Linked DNA regions of Arabidopsis thaliana. The protein of the gene in region 2 interacts with the protein of the main gene of each other region in a pairwise test. Each region holds a gene or a part of one and is shown on either strand. Other genes may lie near its edges.

Region 1 (6,620 bases), on a different chromosome or scaffold from region 2:
TGCTATTAGTTCTTTATAATTGCTGTAAATTTTGAATATAAATTTTTTTGATAAGAATAGATTAATATTGTGTATTGAGCTTCACACACATCTTAATATATAAAGCAAAATTAATTCAGTTTTTGTTAACTTAAAATTATCATAAAAATCAAAAACTCGCACAAAGGACGGGTTCTAATATAGTTGATATATATGTTTTACATCTTTTCTTGCTAACATTCTACTAATATCTATATATCTACATAAAAGTACTAGAGAGAATTACCTGCAAGTGAGATTTGAGATATACACAGATGAGTGTATAATATGGTCAGCGGGTCAGGATATGTAACTTTTGTTTGATTATGGGTTTGAAAATGTGCAAATAGACAGACATTACTTCAACTAATTGAGAATAATGTTGGATCCGTATTTGTAGGAATAAAAAATAACTGTTAATTAGAGGTTGACTTCACAGTTCACAAGTCGGGTTCGGGTGTACAAGAATCTTGTCAGGTCACACCTAACTCTTATGATCGTCTCTTAGTTTTTTTTTTCTTTTTTTTTCACAGGCTTAATGGACCCTTTTGTCTAATTTGATGGCATATCTCACAAACCATCCAGTTCCATGTTTTTATAAACATGCTTTTTAAACCTTTAAAATGAAGGACACAAATTAGGATTCTCGGTGCAAAATTGCATGTGGACGTGTAGAAGCAGAAGGAAGATGGAAATTAAGTGTAAAGAAGAAAGGAGTGGTGACGAGAAGCTTGTGAAGGATCGATGGCAAGTCTCTTTACACGTGGGGGGAATGACAAAGTTCTTCTTTTTTCTACTTCATCAAAGCTTACAATTTCCTCTCCTCAACAACTTTTTTTGTTTTTTTTGGTAGGGAACAACTTTTTTTGTTTGGCTAGCAGAATTTTATTTACTAACTGGAAAATATGAACTTAAGCCTATAGTTTAATCTCATGAACTCATAATCTCCATTTAATTCTGCAACGAAGTTTTATTGGATGGCATGTACCCGAATCTATAGTAGATATATACAACTGGAAAACAGTATTGTATATTGTTTTCGTGATGCACCAAAAACTTATGATTGAAATTTACGTAGAAATAAAACAGTACAATTTGTTAGACATGTTAATAGAACTGATCTTGTGAGTGCTCATATTTCTTGGAATTCCAAGAGGACTTCGAAAGCATAATTGGATCTAAAATATATTATATCATAAGCATATATACGTGAGAATGTATTTATCTTATTGTTTTCATAATAGAAGTGGTAAAGGTAAATATTCAAACTAATTGTCGAAATATGCGGAAGAGGTAGTATTCAATGGCTTACGATGACTAAAATCGTAATTACAAAAATCACCATAAACTCGTCTAAAAAGACTTTCTTTGCAATTAAAATTAAACCATATAGGACTTCGATTTATACGGTGTCAAATTTTATAACTATGTATGTTAATATTACATATTTTTGGAACGAACGATGTAAAAAAACGGCTCAACTAACAACGCTATTCATCGCTTCACGGGGTCGGATGTGTAACGTAAACCAAGCAAGGACCACTTTACACATAAACTAATTCTCTCATACGAATCTACAAAAATACATATAAAGATAATATATAATTTTGGGGTAAGAGAGGAGCATTGTCCCGTGATTCTCGTCGAACAAAAAACAGAAAAAGAAAGAAAGAAAGAGGTATGTGTGATGATGTGGTCTACATCAAAGACAGCTGAGCAGTCACACGCCTTGTAATCGTAATTTATTCGTCTATCTACCACTCTCGCTCTTCCATTTTTTGCCTTTAGCATTCAATTCCACGCAAAACCCTAAACCTCATAATCTCATCAAAAAGTTTTAAAGATAAATATATATGAATCTACCCATTAATCAATATATTAGTTAGTATTGTGATTTATCACTTTCTAAATACTAAAAAGTACTCAGAAGATTAGAAGGTTGATTTTAAAAATAAATTTTCTAACTAATTTGATCGCTATATCAATAGAAATGAGAGGATTTAAAATCCATCAAGTATAGTTCACTTCGATAAATTAATATTTTGTATAAATTGATTCATGTCACGTACTGGATCTTTTAAATCGTTGAGGATCAAAAATTATTTTGCAACAAAAAGAAAAACAGAAGGAAAAGAAAGTTTAGTTAACATTAATTTTAAACCAAATGTCTTAAGAAAAAGACAATGATCTCGATCATCAATGATCCTAATTCCGACAAAACTACTCTGAGGTATATTATAATTTTGTGAATTCGATTTTGTATTTAATTATTTTTCCTGGAAACTGCATCACGGTATCAAAAAATTTAAAATTCTTCATTTTTTTGTTTTCTTCTAAACTCAAATAACGTCTCAACTATACTAATATCTTTCTTATTTTCTTATAATTATTAATTTTTTTTTTTTTTTTTTTTTTGTTGTTGTTGTAAATAGTCTTACTTATACTAACTAATTCATTCATAGACTGTTAGTCCCGATACATGAATTTTATCTATATCGATCTTTGTAATCGAAATGTTTGTTTGACGAACTAAGGCAATCTAAGACTACTAAGAATATGCTATATATAGAGCCTAATTTCTATCACACTCATCTTAGCCTTTGGTGAACAATAATATAGAATAAGTGTTACTTGTAATTTGTTGGCATGTTAAGGGTATAAACAACAATTTATCTCATTTATAGGAGTAATAGTTTTCTCCCTCCATGGTTGATATTAATATGCATCCACATATTAAAATATACAACTATTTATATATAGAGCTGTCTATAGTAGAAAAGGGCCGAAATCAATTAGCTGTGAACAGAAAAGAAAACTTTTTAACATATGCAACAAGATTTAGGTGAGGGTTTGTCTACATGTTCCGGGAAGAGAGAGAGAGAGAATCAGAAGTGTATCTTGATCTAGGGTTCACAGACAAAATCTCCATGCTTTGAACTAAGCAGAATTCATCTGGTCTTTTATCTCTTTCATATCAAACCAAAGGATTGATCTATCCATATCGTCCAAAACCTATATCTAGCTAAGCCTAGAACTTCTCTATCGTTTACCACTTTCTTTCTATATTTCTTCTGAATTTGTAACATCAGAAGTAATAATGATTCCAAGTATGGAGGGAGGCGGGAAGACTAACAGAGAAGAAGAGGAGGAGGAAGAGGAAGAAGAAGAAGAAGGTGAAGAGAGTAAGGTTTCAAGCAATAGTACAGTGGAAGAGAGCGACAAGAAGACTAAGGTTAGGCCTTATGTGAGATCTAAAGTCCCTCGACTCCGGTGGACTCCTGATCTTCATCTTCGCTTTGTCCGCGCCGTTGAGAGGCTTGGAGGTCAAGAAAGTACGTCCATAGCTACTAACTTCATCTTTCATCACCTCCTCCACATATATATAAAAGCATAAGCAATTTCTTAGTTATTCTTAGGTTAACTATTTGGTCAAAACCTCATGTGATTTTCTTTTTTTTAATGTGTATGTTTGGTTATGTATAGGAGCAACTCCAAAGTTGGTTCGTCAGATGATGAACATCAAAGGGCTTAGTATTGCTCATGTCAAGAGCCATCTACAGGTATTTGATCTACATACATCTAAAACGTACCTATATATGTGTTGTATTTTCGATTTCGTTTCAAATAATCTCTGAAATTAGAAAAAAAAAGAAATCACTAAATTGTGTATTGGAAAATTTTAGATGTACAGAAGCAAGAAGATAGATGATCAAGGTCAAGGTATTGATTCTTTCTATTTGTGTTCATTAGTTAGTTATCAAGTTATACATGTATAGGCCAATAAAGTGGGGTTTGAATTGTTGGCAGCTATAGCTGGTCACAAACATCTCTTCGAGACTTCCACAGATCGAAATATTTATAAACTAAGTCAGCTACCGATGTTCCGAGGCTATAATCATAACCATGATTCTCCATTCAGGTTGATATAACTTTTTTTTTTGAAAATTTTAGATTTTATGTGTTCCTTAATTTGAATGATATTCCGTTTTAATTATATTTATTCGGAAACTAAATTAATTGTCTTCTTTTGTTTTTGGTAGATATGGAAGTAAAATTTCAAATGCTTCTTTGTGGAACTCTAGCTCTCAAGGAACAGAAAGGAGTTTGATAGACCAAATTAGGCCCGGTTTAATCCGCAACGCGTCGGTTAGCAATAACATCCGTGGTAGTGATTATTGGACTAACAACAAGTCTTTCCAAAACATCTACTCTTCTTCAATTTCTAATCACTTTCCGAAACTACGACACGATCATCACGAACGGACCAATTCAGTCACATTCAACAGCATTCAAGGACACTCAAGAACTTTTCAAAAGTTCCATAACGGTGTTGAGGAGAACACTAATCATTCTTATTGTAGCAAGACAAATGGCAAAAGAGACGCAAGTAGGAGCATTGATCTTGATCTATCTCTTAAGCTAAGACAACCGGAGAAGACAATTTTGGAAGAGACAGAAACAGCAGCAACAACAACGGATCAAACGTTGTCCTTGTCGCTATGTCCAGGGTCGTCTTCGTGGAAAAAGAGCCGACTGATGAAAGATGAAGAGGATCGGACGGTTAAGATTGGTCAGGAGAGTACTCTGGATCTGACTCTATGAATTATATTTAAGAATGAGACAAATTCTAAGTGAGATCTTGAGGTACTTACCGATATCTTAATATTCAGTGTCGTTGTTGTTTATCATTAATCATGTATTTTCTTTATTATTAGAAAGGAAACAAAAATGTTTGATTATATTAACGGTCTTGAGTTTGTTTGATACCGCCAATTTGTATCATCACATATATAAACAAATATTACTAGCCACATCATAATGATTCGATCTTTTGTCTTCTCATAGCAATATACTATATGAAAATTACATATACATATAACAACAAATTTACATCGATTAGAGTATCTCTGCTGGTGAGCTTCATTCATTTGTAGATGAGACTTTTACGTAAATAGTACAAAAATTTTGGTTTCGTATTTATCCGAACAGTACATGGACAATTTTGTAGTTCCAAAACATGTTATAGTTAATAGTAGTGTTTTCAATAATTTCCAAAATCCATCTTCACTCATTTTTCCCTTTTCAGAGACATAGTGAAACAATTTTACACTATGCAAATCCGAAGCCAATTATTTTTGAGGTTTTTACTATATGTGAACAAGATTAATACTTAAACAACAAGACACACCTCGTTCTTTGTAAATATTAAAGAGGTTAAAGATCATAATACAAAAAAAAACATAGAAAAAGTTCACAAATCATCAAATCTTTTGAGTTCATTATTCTATATAAAATTTTATCTCGTGAAATGTTTATTGTATAAGGATGTGATTAGTTGCAAACCAAAAATTAATGTTTAATAGTATTTGATAGGGAACTTATTTCAACTGTGTAAAATTTTCCCGGTAAAATTTTCGTTCAATCAGTCGATTCTAAGAACATGAATCTTATTGAATCTCTAATAATTTATTGTATAATATGGTGGCACCTATACGTCAATACGATAATGACGTCGTTAATAGTAACGTTGAGAGTTGAGACTGTTGTATAATTTTGATTCGACGTGCCAAATACTACGTTCGACCAAGTATCAATTTTGATTTTCCAAAAAGAAAAAACAAGAAACTTAGGATCTCCGTTAGTTTGATTGGATACACTGATACTGTTTCGATATTTAGACAAACAAATGGAATCTTTGCTTCTTAAACATTCGATGCGTGTGTGTACCTGGTCAACTTCTTCAGACTTCATTATCAAACATGGCCGCACGATCAGTTTTATTTTGCTACTGGAGAATTAACTTATCCACCTCAGAATCTAAACTAATTTCTGAAACTATATAAGTGTTTTTTGGGGCTAAAAATAAGATGCATGAAGTGAAAGTATCCTAGTGGTTAAAAAGGGGTGTAAACATAACGTTTAATGTTGTATCCCTTTATATGTACCTCTAATGTCCCTCTTTATTTACTTTTAATGATTTTTAAGACTAAATATCTTCAGTTGAAGTAGGTAATCTTTTTGCCAAATTAGTCTTCGCAATACACGGATCGATTTCCTTATAAGATATTAAATTTAACTCATTCAAAAAATATTAAATTTGCAATGACTTATAAGATAAATAAAAACCAAGGTCCATATCTTATCCCAATTTGTTTTTTTTTTTTGTATACCAAATTTGTCTCCTATATTGTTTTTATATGTTTATATTCTTTCTCCTAGTAATTTACACAAAGAATTTAAGAAGCTTCATTGAAATATCAAGACTAGAATTGAAGAATGAGAAACATATCTATCAAACCTCGAAGACTTTTCTCCATCAAAATGTGCAAACAAAACACCAAACCCAACTTGTGTCTTGTCTATTCTACACACATTATTATAATTAAAGGCTTTCACACCTACACAAAAAAAATTCGTACCATTGACTATAAACATCACAAACCCAACAAAAATTTCATCAACTCCGGGAAAGATAGAATAACAAAATGGCCGGAGCTTACGATCCAAGCTTGCCGGAGGTTCCTGAATGGCTCAACAAAGGAGACAACGCGTGGCAGCTCACGGCAGCGACTCTGGTTGGTCTACAGAGTATGCCAGGTCTT
Region 2 (6,920 bases):
TGGAACTATAACATAAAAATATTTCTGCAGAAAATATAATAAAATATAAATCAATTTGATGTTTGTCGGTTTATGCATGTAATAAATGAATATCGTTTTTGTAGAAATTAATATCTGTAACTGAAGTTTTGTGATTTAACTAAGCTTTACGGATTGATGCAGCTCATATATATGGATGTATATATGTGACCTTTTTTATTTGGTCCAAGTTTTGATAAATATAAATATGTAGTATATATTATTTATTTTTAAAAATAAAGAATATAGCCAAAAACACAAGAACCAATAACTCCACTTTTGAGTAATTTTGTAAAATATTGAGTTCATTGGTCGAAGAGACCTTGGGAATTTATATTCTCTCTTGGCAAATGAATAGACGGTGTCTTTGCTCAAAAAAAGAAGAAAAAAGAATAGACGGTGGATATATAAAATGATGTTAAACCATTTCTCGTTAGGGTTTTCATTTTTCAATATTATCAGTAATTAGTGAACTAGCAGTTTTAAGAATTAAAATGCTCTAATTATTCCCTAATTAAGAATCTGTTTTTATTTGTTTTCCTTTTGTCATCGACAGGTACCGAGACAGACATGAACTGGCTGTTTTATGTGGGAACATATACGGTCGATTGTTTTCTTTTTTACCTCTATTGATTTCGTGTCTATCGTGTATAATTAGATTACAAATAAGTAATAATAAAAAGATTAAATAAATGTTGGACTCGTCAGATATTTTGCTTTCTTGTCGATTCTTGCTCGCCTGAACACAAACCTTATCTATCAAAACAAGCCAAATCTTAATATTTTTTTTTTCCACAGCCAAATCTTAATTAGAGATCTAGTTTGTGGAAAAAAGATGTCCCTCGGACTTGATATATTTAAAGATAATCCAAAAAATTAAACTGGTATGTACAAAAATCTTGATTTTTCGATGTAAATAGATCATCTTAGTACATAGCTGATCTAATCTATTTATCCAATGGATGAAAGGTATTAAGGTACTTTATACCATTCTCGATCGAGGATTATTATTTCTGTTTATCCTAGAGGATAACATTTAACATATCTTATCAAGTGAACATTTTTAATTTCTTAACTAACCAAGTGAACAATTAAACGAACAAAAAGAACTAAATGAATGACGGAATGAGAGAGCCAAAAGTAAAGTGTGTAAGTAATATGATTATGATTTTTTTTTTAAACAGAAAAATCAAATATAATGATTTAAATGCGAATCATAATCATATCACTAACAAAGTGCGTATATTTCTATATATGAATAGCAATTTGTAAAGTACACTAGTACAAATACAGTACTCGACACAGATCGCTAGTTACCATTTTTTCTTCTTGGGGATGTCAATTTTGTGAACTTGATATAATAATGAAAGAAGGGTAGGGTTTTTTTTTTTTTTTTTTTTGAACAGAGAAAGAAGGGTAGGGTTAAGTTCAAAATTACGACAAGAAACGAGTAAGCCCACTTCTATGTGAGCTTTTTGGACCCTTTGTAAATGAAAGGTACGTCTATATATGGGTTTCTTTTGTAGTCCTAGGCCCAACTTAACAATGTAGCTGGTATCCGATAATAGGGATCCGAGCCGAGCCGAGTAATTGAGATTTTAAATTTAAACAAGAACTCATTTCCCACGTTGATTATTTACTTAGAAATTCCTGAATTATTTATATATGTGACATTCCAAAAATAGCAGATAACATCCTTCATGTAATGCACTATAAAATGCAATAGGTTTATGATCAAAGCTTGTAATTTACCAACAAAAATAACTCGCTGGTTTTAGTTACTGCTATTGTTTCATAATCTATGTTAAATTTGCGTGTGTGAGTAAGGAAAATTGCAATATTTTATGAACACTTATTCTAATTCTACAGAAAAGAGGTTGATTATATATTCAACTTTTTATTTTACTTCTAGGTTTTGTTTTTGTTTTCAGTTTTCCCTCATACCGCTTACTTCTTCCAAAACCCAAATTAAGATGTTAAACAAACATGCCTAATTAACCAGGAAAAATAGAAGAAACTAAAGCCATTTCTTATCTCACAATTCCTCAGCATTGAACCCTAGCTCTGCAACTAATTAATCAGGAAGCTCCAACTCCAAGAAAATCAAAGTAGTAATAGCCACTCCTCATCTTCATCTCCACCTTTCTTTCACTGACTGAGATTGTGTGGTGATTTTGATGGTCCATCTTTTTACCATATATGCCATTTACTTCTGCTCTCTGCACACACTGACCATCTTTGCCTGCAAAATTAGAAAAATAAGTTCTCAGCACCCACGTGAAATTTTGTTATATTGAAATAGTAACGTGACAATAGTACTTCACCTCCTTATATTATTATGCCTATAGGTACTCTTACGATGTAAAAACAGTTTCTTTCTTTTCTAGTCATTCAAATTTATAATTATTGCCATGTATATGAAAAAGTGTAGGAAGTGGTCACTCGTCGTCGGTTATACAACATGTCGGCCTAAATTATCATTTTATATGCTTTGAACATTCAAAAATTAACAAGACTGGAATCTAATAAGCTAAATTTAGACCACAAATGATATTTGGAAGTACCGGTTAAAGTATAAACCGATCATGATCAACGATACACCCAATAAAGATTGCAATACGATCTCGACCAACCGACCGAGATCATTATAGTTAGATTCACGAAAACACTTCTCAAGAAAGCCGAAAACGAAAAAAAACATTCCAAGTTTCTATACTTTTAATGTCTTGGGTCATGAAAATAATATATTTTCAATAGAGAAAAAAAAAAAACATAGTAAACATAATATTTAAGCAAATAAATAAAATGTTACCTGATGCAAGGGTACTATCGTAATTAAAGAAGCGAGGCTGGTAAGCTGAAGAAGGCGGAGTGAGAGAGAGCTCCGTCGTACAAGTAGAGACAGCTGACACATCGTCGTCGTCATCTTCTTCATTGATGAACTTACCTTGATTGTAGCGGCAAGAGGACGAAACCGTCATTTCAGCGTCTCTTGACAACGTCGGAGGAGGCTGTTGACGTTGTCTTTGGCTTTCTCTAGTCCGTCGAGCCATGATGACGTGCCAATGGTTCTTGACAGCGTTATCGGTACGACCTGGAAAGAGACGAGAGATCAAAGCCCACTTGTTGCCATAGGCTCGATGAGCTGCTAACAGCCTAAACTCTTCTTCCTCCGTGAAGGCTCTCTTGTTAATCCTTGGGTCTAGTTGGTTAAACCATCTCAATCTACAACTCTTGCCTGTAGTCAAAGAAGTGTCCCTCACATTATAAAAATTAGTTACTATCAAGCATTATGTCATTATGCCTTATACAACTTAGTCTAACTTGTAAAAACTATTTTTAAAAAAATCCAAACACAATTACGAAAATGCCTAATAACTTTGGAAACTCAACTCACCAAAGTTTTTAAATATATTTACTTATTTTTCTTCTACATAAAAATAGTTAAATTTGCGGAATTTGGAGTAACAAAAGTGAAGGAAATAATTAAGTAATAAGAATTTTAAGTAAAATAAATGTACCTGATCTACCAAGAAGGTGGTTAGAAATCAAGTTCCAGTTTTGGGGACCAAACTGGGCAACAAGCTCCTTGAGTTTAGCATCTTCTGTTGGTCTCCAGTGTCCTCGTGAGCATACTTTTGTGTTAATTCCACTTTTGCCCCTCATTCTTAAACTCTTTTCGTTTTCACCTCTCTCGTTCCCATGTTCATCTTCCGACTCCAAGACTGAGGCTGATTTGTTGTGAGGATGGTTTCTAGAGATAGAGGGGTTGTTGAGTGAAGTTTTACAAGCAGCAGTGTGTGAGTTTGGTAGAGATCTGAAGTTGTTTGCTTCTTTGTATCTTATTGACCCATTTGTAGTTTCCTTACCTCTTAGATCTTTCTCAAGGAGATTTGGATTCATGTTTCTGGGTTTAGGGATTAAGGGAAGAGAAACTAAAAATAGAAGAGAGATAGAGGGAGAGAGCACTTGAATGGCTTTTCACTGTTTATATGGTGGAAGAGGAAAGAGAGATTCTCTAAAAAAAATTATTGAAATTTATATTTTTATTTACATTTATTTGCAAGCTAGTTAATATATATAGAAGAATATTTTAGAAAATGATGATGAGTGCAGAGTGGTTATTTAATGTACATGAAAAACAAAATTGATAGCTGTTTATTCACACACCAAAAGAAATTGAAGGGAAAGTTTTGTAAAAGCATATTCAAATGAATTACAAGTGTTAATTACCAAATTGTGGCCTAATAATCCCATGCTAATGGTTTTATACAATTACGTGCGGTTTCATTTTATTTATCATTTTTTTTTTTTTTTCAGCAACCACATTTTAACTATATTTATAGTCGATGCCTCGATGGTGGTCGTACAAAATCGAAATTCGATCATTAAAATTCCAAGATAGATCTATAACAATTTTTCATCACTATCTTCATAAGAGCTGCTTGTTATTGTACTAATATTGTGTTAATTAAATAGTTAAAATGAAACCGCACGAAAACATTAAATATTCAAGGTTCACGTTTTCCTTCACGTACGTTGCGATTTAGTTTTTACTCTTACACGAAAAATTTCGAATAATGAGATACTTTCAGTACAAAGCTCTCTCTCTCTACACGTGCAAAAGTAAGGGATTTGGAAAAGTCGGTGGGTACGTGTAGTGTAGATGCATGCAAAACGAGACCCGCTCGTGCGTGTGGGAGGGTTCGATGACCATAGGCCCCACAGTCTCAACAGTCTCGGAAACTCCAAAAAACATTTTTGAACCGCTCGTGTGGCTATAGTATATACTATGCACACATACAGATATTGCACGTACGTTAAGTGTGTGTGTGTGAGTTAATTATGGGAAAAAACAACAGAATCAATTTTTGTCTGTTTCGGACACAAAGCAAGAAAAGATCTTAAAGGGAGAGAAATAAATTGCTTTTATGAGCTTTCTGTTCTCTCCATAACGTATAAGTGTGTATATATATATTCGCATCTTTCAAAGAACTCGTTTTGTGTAGTTAAATTATAAAGTAATATGATGATTAGCTCAACAACTAGTTCAAGTACTTCAATATCTTTTGAACGATGGGTTCGACGTCGTTTGGGGTGTATACATTTTTACTTATATACTATATTCAGTGAAATTCAAGCATTGTTTTTGTTTATTACTTAAATAGTTAATTGAACTCAAACAATGTTGTGCGTACATTTAATGGAAAACAGACGTGGCAAACAGAAAACATATGCACATCCTATATTTTTTGCTACTAGTTTAAATTTAAATTTTGCTGTAATTTTTGTTTCAGGATGAAATATATAATCTTTGTTGAAGTTTTTTAAAAAAAACTATCATCAAATTGGTTATTTTAAAGTAAGTTTTAGGTACGAAGGGAACATAGTTTTTTTAATTTTTAGGAAAACTAAAAGTACAAAAAAGAGAAGAAAATGTGAATGGTGACAAACAAAAGTTCAATTCATTTCTTATAAACCAAAAATAATAATTGAACAACCAACTCTATTGAAGACCATTATTATTCAATGATATGGACTATTTATGCTCCCATTGAACCTATAAGTTGTAGACTTTAGTTTTTTGTATCTTTTTGATATAAGAATTGAGTGGTCATTCGTTTGAATGTAATAATTATCTTTCATGCGTAACAACTTACTATAGTCTTGATATGACTAAACAAAGCTACATATTTTAGTAATTGTACTAAACTCGATCGAGTATGCAACCACATAATTTTGATGGATTAAAATACTAGAGATTAAAGAGAGAAATCATGTAACTGAACTCGAACTAGAATTAAATTCAACAATAATAAATGAAGAATAAAACAAATATAACACGAATAGACGTTAGAAACCAAAGAAACGACAGAAAAGTACCTAAAGTTTTTTATTTATTGTGTCTTGTTTTTATGTGAGTTTCGGTTATGGGAACGGTTTCGTTAATTTTGAAATCTTCTGTTGACGACAAAAAAAAAGTCTTGTACCGACGTGGAATGACGACATCATTGGCTGTTACACACGAGCGGATCGTGTTCTTACCTAACACGTGTACCGTCCTCACGAATTTCAGTTTCCGGTTCATAGAAAAGTTCCCCGAACCGTTATGGACCAATTCCACTTTTCTTTTGTTTTTTTATTAAGATACTTTGAATGATTATTATTTAATAACATTTTTGCAAATCATATTCTCGACTATGGAAGAATTATTTTTTTCCAACGACCATGAAAGTGGTCTGTAATTTGAAAGATTGTTGTATAATTTTGGGGTAAGAAGAGATAATATTAAAGACATACCGATAAACAAACATATATGAAAGATGTGGAGTATATGTAATATGTTTCGGGGGATAGATATTTTTTGTTTCGTTTGGGTTGCCATTTATTTTACAGCTATTTTATAAAAGTAATCGATTTTTAATGAGGGAGTTGTTTCATCAAATACTATCGACTGTATTTTAGGGGTTACATTTAAGATTATCAAAACTTCGACTTAAATTCAAACGTCTAATATAAAATTTTATGTGAAGTTGTTTAATGGTCCGATTAATAGCGCAAGACGGTAAGAGCTTTGTAACTGTACAAAATAGTGATAAAAATGGTGGTATGGTTGAATATGGTAAAAATGATAAGAGATGAAAAATGGTACGATAAGAAGTCGTTAGACCAAAAAACTAGCTGCATATTGAATTAGTTCGAATGAATAATAGGATTGCTTTTTCTACATAGTTCTGAGGTTACTTCTCTTTCGGTAGTTCGTGGATCCATCGGATCATGTTCGTCATTTGATAAAGTCGTCGGTGAATTTTACGAAATGGTTAGTGGTTATTGATCATTGTTTAACCACAATTTCTAACACTCTCACTTGTACGATTAAAGTTAATGGAATTGTGTTTTTC
Region 3 (5,549 bases), 2.8 Mb from region 2:
TTCAATCGTAATCTATCGTTGTTCATTCGGTATGGTTTCGCCTAATTTTAGAGTTAGAGCCAGCGCAAATAGTGTGACTAGAGAAAGTCATTTTCAATCATCTATGACATTTAAAGGACTCGTTTGACTTCACAAACAAGTGTTGGAGGAAGTTGTTGTTTGGTTAATGGTTTTAATATCGATGATCATAAAACATAAAGAAGTGACCTTGAATAGTTACTCTTCAAACTAACTGATCTGAAATGTGTATGCTAACATATAAGTAACTAGAATGCAACGCACAAAACTATATGTTCGCGGTTAAAAAAAACAAAACTATATGTTAGAACCGAGAAAGTATATATTATATGAGTGTGATTATTTAAAATAATTTTTAAAATAGATTGATTTTGGTATATATAGTTAATTTACAGCTGAATGAAAGAAAAGGACATGAATCACAATCAAAACCATTTCATCACCCATGTTTATCTATGTCGTTTTGGGTCCCATGTCACGCGTTTACGACCTAGGCCCTACTCATATTTATTCATAATTCTTGTCTGATTTTCCCATAACTTTGTATGTAGTCCCAAAACACTAATTGTTAAATGTTTTCCTTTTTTATGGTTAAAGATAATTGTATATATTCGAGTTTCTCATTATCTCCAAGTCGACAAAAAAAAAAAAACAATTAAGATAAGTTATATAATATGAGTCACCAAACATATGATGAGCCTCTATGCTATAAAGACAAACAATCTAGACATAATTAACGAATGATCTAGTTGTTAAATTCATATTATAAGAGTTGCAAAACCGTAGCACATTTTGTGTGTGTAAATCTGACAAATTTGCTTCAATTACAATTTATAAGGATGATACCTTGTTTAATCTATTTTTTAATGAACATTGTGTATTTATTTTGTTGTTGTTCATTGCCATGCATTTGGGAGATAGATATTGAATACTTTTTCTCTTTCAGAGGTATGGTACTAGTTGAAACTTGGAAGATTAGTCATCACTACTCACACGTGCCAAAATAGTAGCAAAGAGACAAAATCCTCAATGCAACTTAAAATAAAAACAGTCTTTGTTATAGCTAGCTAGCTTCTCACCCTCACATGCTTTGCTATATTGTTTGATCGACCAATACAATTAAACCACGTATGAAACAAAGAATAGTTACCTAAGTAAAAGCGAATATGTTAGACATATCAAAATTATTTTTGTTTAATTAAAATTACAGTTGTAGTAATGTTGTTATTTCAAAGGTACATATATATTTCCATTATGTAACTTGCTGATATTAGCATTCAGTACCATCCTTCTTTTACTACACCACCGAGAGAGATAAGTTACTTTCTTTTTTTTCGTTTTCTTATGGACATGGATGCAAATATACAGACAAAAAAAAGCATATGTTGAATAATTATTAGGGTTAAGAATGATTATTAGTAGGGTGAAAATGATCAATTATTTGATAAAAAGTTAATGACCTTCTCTAGTTGTTTTTCTTGTCGTCATAATTGCGGTCTAGGATTCTTTCATCAATTTGATACTGGATTGAACTAATAATATTTGGCACTTGTTATTTTGATGTATCCATTCTACCTACACACTCTTTTGCCCAACATATTCTTCTATTACCTCTTATTCCAATTATAATTGACTCTAAAAGGATATAGTCTCAATTGGAGATTATTTTTTTTTTAAATATGCGTGCGACTGAATATGATCGACATAACCTTTACTTTTATTTGATGAAACTTTGTCGAACAAAAGATAAATTGGCAAACAAAAACATCCATATATAAACCCAAATAAGAAGTGGTTACTATGTGACATTCCCTATACAATTAACATATACTACTATCTAAAAATTGTAGATAAGTTTATGCAATATTATACTAATTCCCTCTCCAAGTTTCAGTAATGGGCATAATCACATATTTATTAATTATTAAACCTATGTTTTTAATTGAAAAATAATGTATTAGAGTTTTTTTTTTAATAGGTCGCAGACTCGTAGGTAAACTGTACACTCAGAAATCATGGGTATGATGACAATACATTAAGGTTTGTTTCAATAATAACAATACAAAATAATATTAAAGAAGGGAAAAGAGAAGATGATAATCGAAGATGGTTTTGGGTGTTTGATTGAGTCATTATCAAAGGCTCACATGGGTGAAGAATGGTGATGAAAGAGTCTCGCTAGTTATCAAACTATATATTTTCCAATTATTTATCGTTATTATTAATTAGTTGGGGAAAAATTTGGCAGTATCTATGATATAGAGACATGTTGTGATGATCAAACCCATGTGAAAATAGGTACAGTGGGTTTGAAGTTTCACCGCAGCCAAATCTCTTTGGATCCAACTTGTTCACAATGGGAAAATTAAAATAATTGATAAATATATATGCTATATACGTAGGGTTGTTATTATATTTAGAGCTATTTATTAGTTTTATCTTAAAAATACCCCATAACTTAGGATATTATAACTATAATTGTCTAAGTATAATATGTGTAACTTGGGACAAAAGGAAAAGAAAAAGGTTTGGATTAAATTATCTTAGGTTTGATTTCTAAACCGTTTTAATTAATTTATATTTGTTGATAAAAAATTAGCTTTTGTTACAGAAATAAATTCATATGAAACTATTGAACATTTGTAATTTTGTATTCTAACAAAAACTGTGATAAGTTTGTTAATTCATAATTTAAATTCTATTTTAACTTTTAGATAAATTACGATAATACTTTCCAAAAAATATCTCTAAATAAAAAAAACACTTTTCCGACAGTTTAGCATGTAGTTTCGAAGCTTTCAATTTTCACTATAATATGTGACAGAATTAGATAATCCATTTGCCCATGTCGCAGCAACTTCGAATACAACAAATGAAGTAAATTTAAGAATACTTTAAGTTAAATAAATTAATATAACTCTCTCTCTCACATCAAACAAAATCCATGAGATTTTCTGAGTCGTATTGGTAATGGTGTGGGTCCAATTTAGGACCAAATTGATTGCCAGTTTATTGCCAAAGAAAATTTTAACACAAAAACATTTCTCTCTCTCATGAAGCTAAAGCCAACACTACTTATATAGCTACCCTTCACTCTTCCAAAAACGCTCCTTCACTCTCATCATTCTTTCTTCTTTCAAAACATTTCCACAAACACACCAAACTCACCTGAAACCCTATTTCCATTTACCATTCACACTAATGGCACGACCACAACAACGCTTTCGAGGCGTTAGACAGAGGCATTGGGGCTCTTGGGTCTCCGAAATTCGTCACCCTCTCTTGTAAAAACTCTCCCTCATCATCCTCTCAAATTACGAAATTACCCTCGGTCGCTTTTTATTTGAGTAATGCTAAACTTTTTTGTTTTTTTTTTGTTTTTTTTAGGAAAACAAGAATCTGGCTAGGGACGTTTGAGACAGCGGAGGATGCAGCAAGGGCCTACGACGAGGCGGCTAGGCTAATGTGTGGCCCGAGAGCTCGTACTAATTTCCCATACAACCCTAATGCCATTCCTACTTCCTCTTCCAAGCTTCTATCAGCAACTCTTACCGCTAAACTCCACAAATGCTACATGGCTTCTCTTCAAATGACCAAGCAAACGCAAACACAAACGCAAACGCAGACCGCAAGATCACAATCCGCGGACAGTGACGGTGTGACGGCTAACGAAAGTCATTTGAACAGAGGAGTAACGGAGACGACAGAGATCAAGTGGGAAGATGGAAATGCGAATATGCAACAGAATTTTAGGCCATTGGAGGAAGATCATATCGAGCAAATGATTGAGGAGCTGCTTCACTACGGTTCCATTGAGCTTTGCTCTGTTTTACCAACTCAGACGCTGTGAGAAATGGCCTTGTCGTTTTAGCGTATTCTTTTCATTTTTATTTTTGTTTCCACAAAAACGGCGTCGTAAGTGATGAGAGTAGTAGTGAGAGAAGGCTAATTTCAAGACATTTTGATCTGAATTGGCCTCTTTTGAAACACTGATTCTAGTTTCTATAAGAGCAATCGATCATATGCTATGTTATGTATAGTATTATAAAAAAATGTTATTTTCTGATTTTTCTCCATGTAAACCAATTGAACACTTGAAACCAAAAACTAAAAATTACACATGTGTTCGTGTGTGAAAAAGTGGGAATTTAATGTAGTGAAAAGATACAACAATGAGAAGAAAGATATCTAAAGTAGTGAAGAGAGATGAGAGTTTGAATATTTTGAGTTAGCTTTTGGTTTTGTTCCATGCATGTTCTAATTTTTCAACGGTGGGCCTTCATTTTTTTATTTTTATTTTTGGTAATTTGGGATTGCTGCTAAGTAGAAAAAGAGTGTCCCTAGCTGTGGCTTGACGACCATAAAATCCAACTTTTTAATTAGAGGGATTTGTGTTTTCTAGCACCTTATATTAAAATAGAAAAAATAATTTAGCTACATAAAATAGGTGTTTGACTGCAATTACTCTGTTTCCTTAGAACACTCTGTTCTTCGAACAGTCCAAACCTATTATTTATTTGTTTTGTTTGTAATGCGAATAAAAGGAAACTAGTGTTTTCCGACCACTACTTTAACTTTTGTAACAAAATATGATTTACATTTACTACCTTAAGGTTGAATACGAAAATAAAAATATTCTCTAGCAAAGAATGGAAAACATAACATGAGCAGGCTTTAATATATCCTTGACGATCGGTTGATTCTTCTTGCATACATATACGCGATAATATAATATCAGTTGTTAGCAACAAGCCAAAATAGCTAAATAATGGCAATTCAATATGGTTAAAGCTCGTTGCGATATAACCAGTACACATGCAATGCATCTAAATTGCAGCAGACAAATGATTTGACGTTAGGAATTATTTGGATTTAAAGATTTTCTTGCCACCTTAATTATTTGCATGCAATAGATGATTTATTTTTCGACACAATAAATTTGATAATCCTTATAGGTTTTTTTCTTTCTTAAACAACAAATCTGATCATTCTCAAATTAACTTGCTATATTACTCAAATTACAAGCACAAAATTGCATGACCACTTATATTTGATAAGGTTTCTTTTCAAATCGTGAAAAACTATTTTCTATTAAATCTACAGATGATTTCTTTGCATGGTACAGATAATTTGTTTGTAGACATAGATTTCATTATTCTCAAGTTTAAGATGACAGAATCTCAATTATTTCTCAAATATTGTTTTGTTATCATACATAAATTCTACAATTTAATTCCAAAAGTAAATTTTTGAGGTGAAAGAAATACAGTTTTTAAAGATGTTCCAAACTATTTAACTCAAAGTTCCGTAGGAATGCATGCGATCACAGTTGATTTGGTAACAAGTGGAAATTGACTACGTGACTATGTATATTCTCCGAGATCCATTAACAACAAATAAAGTAAAAGAAGAAAATAACCAGTTATATGAGACAAAATGTGTCAAAACAATATTATTTGATACACATTAGAATCTCAACGTGATATTATTTTTTTGGATCGAGGTCTCTATCGAATAAACCTTATAATGAT
Region 4 (5,699 bases), on a different chromosome or scaffold from region 2:
TTCCATACACACCTTTTGTTTCATCATTTTTGAAGATGAATTTTTGATATAAGTTTCTTCATGTATCCAACTAATGTTTCTCTTAAAATTGCAATCTCTCGTATCCACTTTACCTTAACGATGTTTCTCCCAAACTTGTGATCATATATTTATATACACACTGTTTTGATTTCAAGACAATGATAGTATTTATTTAAGTTACTAATTCTAATTCAAAGATCTATTAGCTTTTTGGATTTTGTTGATGATAAATAAGTTATTACAATGGCCTTTTTACAACATACCCCGAACTCTATATATACTCTTTTTTTTTAGTCTATATATACTTTTATGTTAAATAGTTTGTTTCATTACATACTATATAGGCTCATATATAGCTTATATTTTTCTTGGACAATCGTTTTTACTAACGCAAATCGTTTAGACAACAAAATGATTTAGCATAAGATATCATATTCATATCACCGTCCAAGTTTCTTCAACTTCGATCAAAACTATAAAAAGATATTTTATAAACTAGCCAGGGTTATAGTTACGCGTATACATGCGTAAATGTGATAATATGTCCTACGTACCAACTAAAAAAAAATCTGAATATTAAAATTGCAAAAAAATAATGGTCACATACTTTTGGAAAGATTGGACGGCTAAGGTCTCGTACCAACAGGCAACAATAAAGAACAGACAGAAAAATCTGAGGACAAAATTAGAAAATAAAAAGCTTTTGGATTTTTGAACCAATATGATCCACACAAGTGGACTTATGCATCAACACTGAATCAACTTGTGGACAACAACAACATCACTTTTTTTTTCCATAACGTATCAAACATACAAATATAATAATATTTTCGTCTCATTATTATTTCAGTCCGTCTAATAAGTGTGCGTATTTTTGATCAGTCAATAATCCATACGACCCACTACTTTATCTTAAATTTTGTAGAGAAATGTCGTGGGTTTTTTTTTTGTTATATATATACTTTGTGTATGTAAAAAGTTAGATATATAGTCTTCATAAAATGGTATAAGACAATATGTGTATTTTCTATTCTGAGTAGAGTCCGCCAATACCCGATCTTACTTGTATTAGAGACAGAGTGTTACAGGTTGTGGTTTAACAGAAACCAGTTGGTTATGTACCGATTATATAATGAGATGTACATATATACTCTAGTCTTTCTATTTCTCAAGCTTTTATATTTCTTTCAAAAACTGAAATTTTTTTCTTCACATAAACATATTTGTAACCTACCTTTGATTCAGTATAACTTTCTGCATTATATCCGAATCGAAGCAAGATTGGAGGCATAAAGAACAACAACTCTAGTTGAACGTCCAAAATGGAAAATACCTACTCAAATTATATATTACATAATGTCAAGGTTTTAATTTGGTCTAATTAATCTTCAATATTAAACATATATATGCAGTTAAAAAATCTAATAACATCATTGAAGATATTTTTGATCATTTAATGCTTTATAATTATCTCTATCTTCACGTAAATTTTGTACTATTAGTAGAATTTAAGTTAACGAAATGTATGACTCCGATCATTACATGTCTAAACGATGGCGATAGATATGATGTGCTGCTATGTTTTAACCGATACGATATATTTTAGCAACAACGAATAACTATATTATAATTTTGGTTAAAGAGATTCAATAACATATTTTGCTAATTACTTTATTTTATTTCGTCCGAACTGTAGTATGTAATTAATCTTATTAGGTTGCTTTAACAATAGATTAAGACACTTACTAAATGAATTCACTATTTTACAAACACTGTTTACGAATAATGTGATGCTAACTACAAAATCGAATATTGTGACATTAAAATGCTTTTCGATTACTTATATACGTACTACTAAGCAATCACACGCAATGTATAGCAATTCAAAATAATCAAACCTTTTTAATTAACTGATATTATTCGTAATTCGTGGGGTAGCTTTCACTAATATTAAACAAATAAATGACTAATAAATCAACCCAAAAAAAAATCTTTAAATGTGAACCATACAAGTGAAGTCCTCTTTGCTTGTTCTGATAGTAAGCTTATATAATTAATTAAGAGTTGACTGACTAACAACCACACAATGTCCCAAAGACAACCAATAACAACGATACTTGATATCACCCTAAATTCTAGCCGTTTCTTATGCGTACCCCCTATCCTCCACTAATCACTTGTAGTATCTTTAATTTTTTTCTCTAAACAATCCCTTAATTATTTTAGAAAATTCTGTCACAAATTTCAATAGGAAAATGAAGGTGTGCTAAGAAACGAATGATAATATATGCCGGTTTTTTTTATCCAACTAGTTCTAGAACCTTAAATATCATGTAAATGTCTCAAAATTTATACCTTGGAAAAAAAGAGATAAACTACACGACTATATATGTTTTCGCTTTGGACAAGGAAACTCCATCGTAATTAACTAAATTCGCAATCATTCATATTTGTTTATAGAATCGATTGTTTGTTAACCTTTCGGTGCATCTATTAAAATTTTAAATTCTCAATAGTTTGGTTTATCGTACACCGTAATCACATTACAATAAGATACATATAACATCATATCGTACAAAAAACAAAAAAAACAATGATTCACATTGAAGTGGTGGGTGATATAAACCAAAAGAAGTCGTACTAGAGGTTTGTTTCGATTTGCAAAAAAAAAAAAACGGAGTTTGTTTCGAAAATTTTAAAGTTGTGCGTCCAATATGAGGTCGAGAGATCGCTTGGAGGAGAAGCGTTTTTAATTTTGAAATTAACGATTTTGCCCTCATAAGGGCATTTACGTCAAAATAACAGGGCAAGATTCATCCACGTGTCCAACAACAACACAACACAAACACATCATTAGTTTTAAAGAAATAAGATTCCTATATAAATGTATAAACGTTTCTCCTATTCCCAAATCTTCTTTCCTCAATATCACCCAGAAGAAAGAGAAAGTGAAACAGATCAAGAAAGAGATTGAGAAAAATGTGTAGAGGCTTGAATAATGAAGAGAGCAGAAGAAGTGACGGAGGAGGTTGCCGGAGTCTCTGCACGAGACCGAGTGTTCCGGTAAGGTGTGAGCTTTGCGACGGAGACGCCTCCGTGTTCTGTGAAGCGGACTCGGCGTTCCTCTGTAGAAAATGTGACCGGTGGGTTCATGGAGCGAATTTTCTAGCTTGGAGACACGTAAGGCGCGTGCTATGCACTTCTTGTCAGAAACTCACGCGCCGGTGCCTCGTCGGAGATCATGACTTCCACGTTGTTTTACCGTCGGTGACGACGGTCGGAGAAACCACCGTGGAGAATAGAAGTGAACAAGATAATCATGAGGTTCCGTTTGTTTTTCTCTGATTATTAGATTTTTTTGGTGTAAGCTATAAATATTCTAGGGTTTTTATGCAATTTTCTTTTAAGAAAAATCTGAAAATTTTAATTTTATGAAGCTTAGAATTTTAAGAAATGTGTAATGAAAAAAAAAAAAGAATTTTAAGAAATGGGTAGTGACTAAAAATAGCAAAAAATATCTGCAATAGAAAGGGAAGAAACAAGGATCGTTTGTTGTTATTGAGTTATTCTTCGAATCTTTTGCTTTTTTCTACTAAGCAATGTTTGTAACCAACAAACAAAAAGTTCCATAAAACTGCTGTAAAAAAAAATTAACTCACCAAACTCTCTGTTTGGTATTTTGTTAGATATTTATTTTAGTGTAGTAAATCTTTCTCACTACTTCTTTGGACTTGTCATTTTCCTTAATTTAAAGGTACATAAAAGCAACTCCAGCCTTGTATTCTTAGCAATAAAAGTGATTAAATTTAATGAAACAACAAACCTTAGCTAAGATAAACATCTTAATTAAGATGTTTTCTTAAAACTAAGAAGAGTATATGTGTTGTATTTTGAGTGGATAGACATTTTTGAATTGTTGTTTTTTAAGAATCCAATAGTTCTTAACCATTGAAATAGAAATTAGTTAAACTTCCTCCTAACTTTTCTTAACTTAGTAAAAACAACATTTTAATTTAAAATAAGGTTAAGATTCAAAACTAAGAACCAATTGGTTCTAAACCAGTGGGGTAATAACTAAACTTTTTGCAAGTGAAACATCTTCATAATGCAATGCTTAATAAGTAGAGAATTGTTCTCTTGAAACACGTTAAACGCGAGCTCTGTAATGGAGCAGATTGTAATCACTGCTACTTTATTATTAATAAAAAAAAAAACAGCTAGGAAATTTATTTATAAAGAGATAAATTAGGATTTGTCCTATAAAAGGAAAAACCCAACTTAAAAATAATCAAAAACAAAAGAGATTCTGTAAATAAAAGAAGTTACTAAATAATTTTCACCATTTTGGCTTTCCACCAACTTTATTTAGTTCTCCAACGTTCCCATGCCTCAACATGTTGATTTCTTCGATTCACAAAAACTATACACAATAAGACAAACAATACATTACTTTCCCGACAAGAAACTGTTTTTACCAACCTTTATCATCATCATGAAGCATGGTTTAAGTCTGTTTGGGAAAGAAGACTGTACATTATTTTTGTAAATTTCAATTGTTCGTCGTCGGTGATGATGGATCATAATCATAACTGTCACCAGCTTTCACAAATCTTCCTTTCACTCTTTTCCTCGTGTCAGCTCTTGCTTTGCGAGATGCATATCGAATCTGTTTCCCAAAACTACAATTAAAAAAAAAGAAAAACACCATTAAACCTGATCCAAGTTGGTATAAACTCTGTTTTGTAATGATTAGTAATAAACTTACGAGCGCTTTAATTTCTTCTCCTTGTATCTCAACTTAGCCTCGTTTCTTGCTTGTGGACAACTAACTTCAAAATTCGTTTCCCATGGCGCTTCACTCATTATAAACCCTGGAGACATCCCACAATCCTGGTAATCAGCTGCATTGTTTTCACCAGTGATGTTAAGAGATGGATGGATTTGTCCGAACAAGACAGGTGATAGAGGAAGCTGAAGTCCAGTGTTGATGTTCATTTGCTGACCTGGTGGCGATGCCTGGAAACAGAATAACACAATTTATATTAGAAACTTTCTTGAGGTACTAGAAACTACAACAACGACAACAAAAAAGCGAAAGAGACCTCTAGAGCCTTGTCTACAGTAAAGTTGGAGCCGGTAAAGCTGGATGTGTTAGTCTTGTCAATCAATAGGCAATTTGGTACCGTATGGTCCGGTTCTATGTGTACTTCTGATGAACATCCGATAATATCATCTCCTACGTCAAAGTTTAATGGTGCATCATCCAAGTTAAGCCCTTCACATAGATCTTCTTCTCCTTCTTCAAGTTTAAGAACCATATCAGGATATCCCTGGAACATACACACAAATAAGAACTGTATTTTTCATCAAGAACTTATAAGGAACACTTTTCACTCCTTTAATTATTACCTTAGATTCCGTGGAAAAGAAAGACAAATTATCACTGAAATTCTGAGTGTAACTGATGTTGTGTGGTACCATGGAATAAGCGGTATCGAACATGGTATTGTTGAGATCATTCAAGGGAAAAGAACCAACGAACGGACTAAGCAAGCCGGAGACAGGAGGTTCAAGAATTGAAGACCACATTCTGTTAAAATCTGTAGGAGAAGGACAACCAGAGAAAGGATTCAAGCTCTGAACTCTGTGTCCTAACTCCGAACAGTTGCTTTCGTGCC

What was found.
Region 1: the proteins of MYB56 (region 2) and AT2G38300 interact in a two-hybrid assay, tested with the Arabidopsis thaliana proteins (one large-scale study listed by BioGRID).
Region 3: the proteins of MYB56 (region 2) and ESE3 interact in a two-hybrid assay, tested with the Arabidopsis thaliana proteins (one large-scale study listed by BioGRID).
Region 4: the proteins of MYB56 (region 2) and BBX31 interact in a two-hybrid assay, tested with the Arabidopsis thaliana proteins (one large-scale study listed by BioGRID).

Annotation. Positions count from the first base shown.
Region 1 is NC_003071.7:16,042,175-16,048,794, reverse strand, and holds AT2G38300 (myb-like HTH transcriptional regulator family protein), read left to right. Parts: upstream 1-2,779; 5' UTR 2,780-3,115; coding exon 3,116-3,350; intron 3,351-3,501; coding exon 3,502-3,578; intron 3,579-3,701; coding exon 3,702-3,738; intron 3,739-3,825; coding exon 3,826-3,937; intron 3,938-4,058; coding exon 4,059-4,620; 3' UTR 4,621-4,847; downstream 4,848-6,620. Other genes in the region: AMT2 (ammonium transporter 2), read left to right, coding at 6,504-6,620.
Region 2 is NC_003076.8:5,874,248-5,881,167, reverse strand, and holds MYB56 (myb domain protein 56), read right to left. Parts: upstream 4,056-6,920; 5' UTR 3,922-4,055; coding exon 3,540-3,921; intron 3,257-3,539; coding exon 2,831-3,256; intron 2,261-2,830; coding exon 2,097-2,260; 3' UTR 1,837-2,096; downstream 1-1,836. Other genes in the region: WOX12 (WUSCHEL related homeobox 12), read left to right, coding at 575-592. UniProt on the Arabidopsis thaliana protein: Acts as a cell-specific local repressor of quiescent center (QC) self-renewal by cell divisions in the primary root. Counteracts brassinosteroid (BR)-mediated cell division in the QC cells.
Region 3 is NC_003076.8:8,705,326-8,710,874, reverse strand, and holds ESE3 (Integrase-type DNA-binding superfamily protein), read left to right. Parts: upstream 1-2,989; 5' UTR 2,990-3,219; coding exon 3,220-3,302; intron 3,303-3,405; coding exon 3,406-3,868; 3' UTR 3,869-4,130; downstream 4,131-5,549.
Region 4 is NC_003074.8:7,706,965-7,712,663, reverse strand, and holds BBX31 (B-box type zinc finger family protein), read left to right. Parts: upstream 1-2,730; 5' UTR 2,731-3,000; coding exon 3,001-3,366; 3' UTR 3,367-3,831; downstream 3,832-5,699. Other genes in the region: BBX10 (B-box type zinc finger protein with CCT domain-containing protein), read right to left, coding at 4,571-4,700, 4,787-5,037, 5,124-5,351, 5,431-5,699. UniProt on the Arabidopsis thaliana protein: Developmental regulator acting by forming heterodimeric complexes, that sequester CO and CO-like (COL) proteins into non-functional complexes. Involved in the CO-mediated long-day flowering-promotion pathway.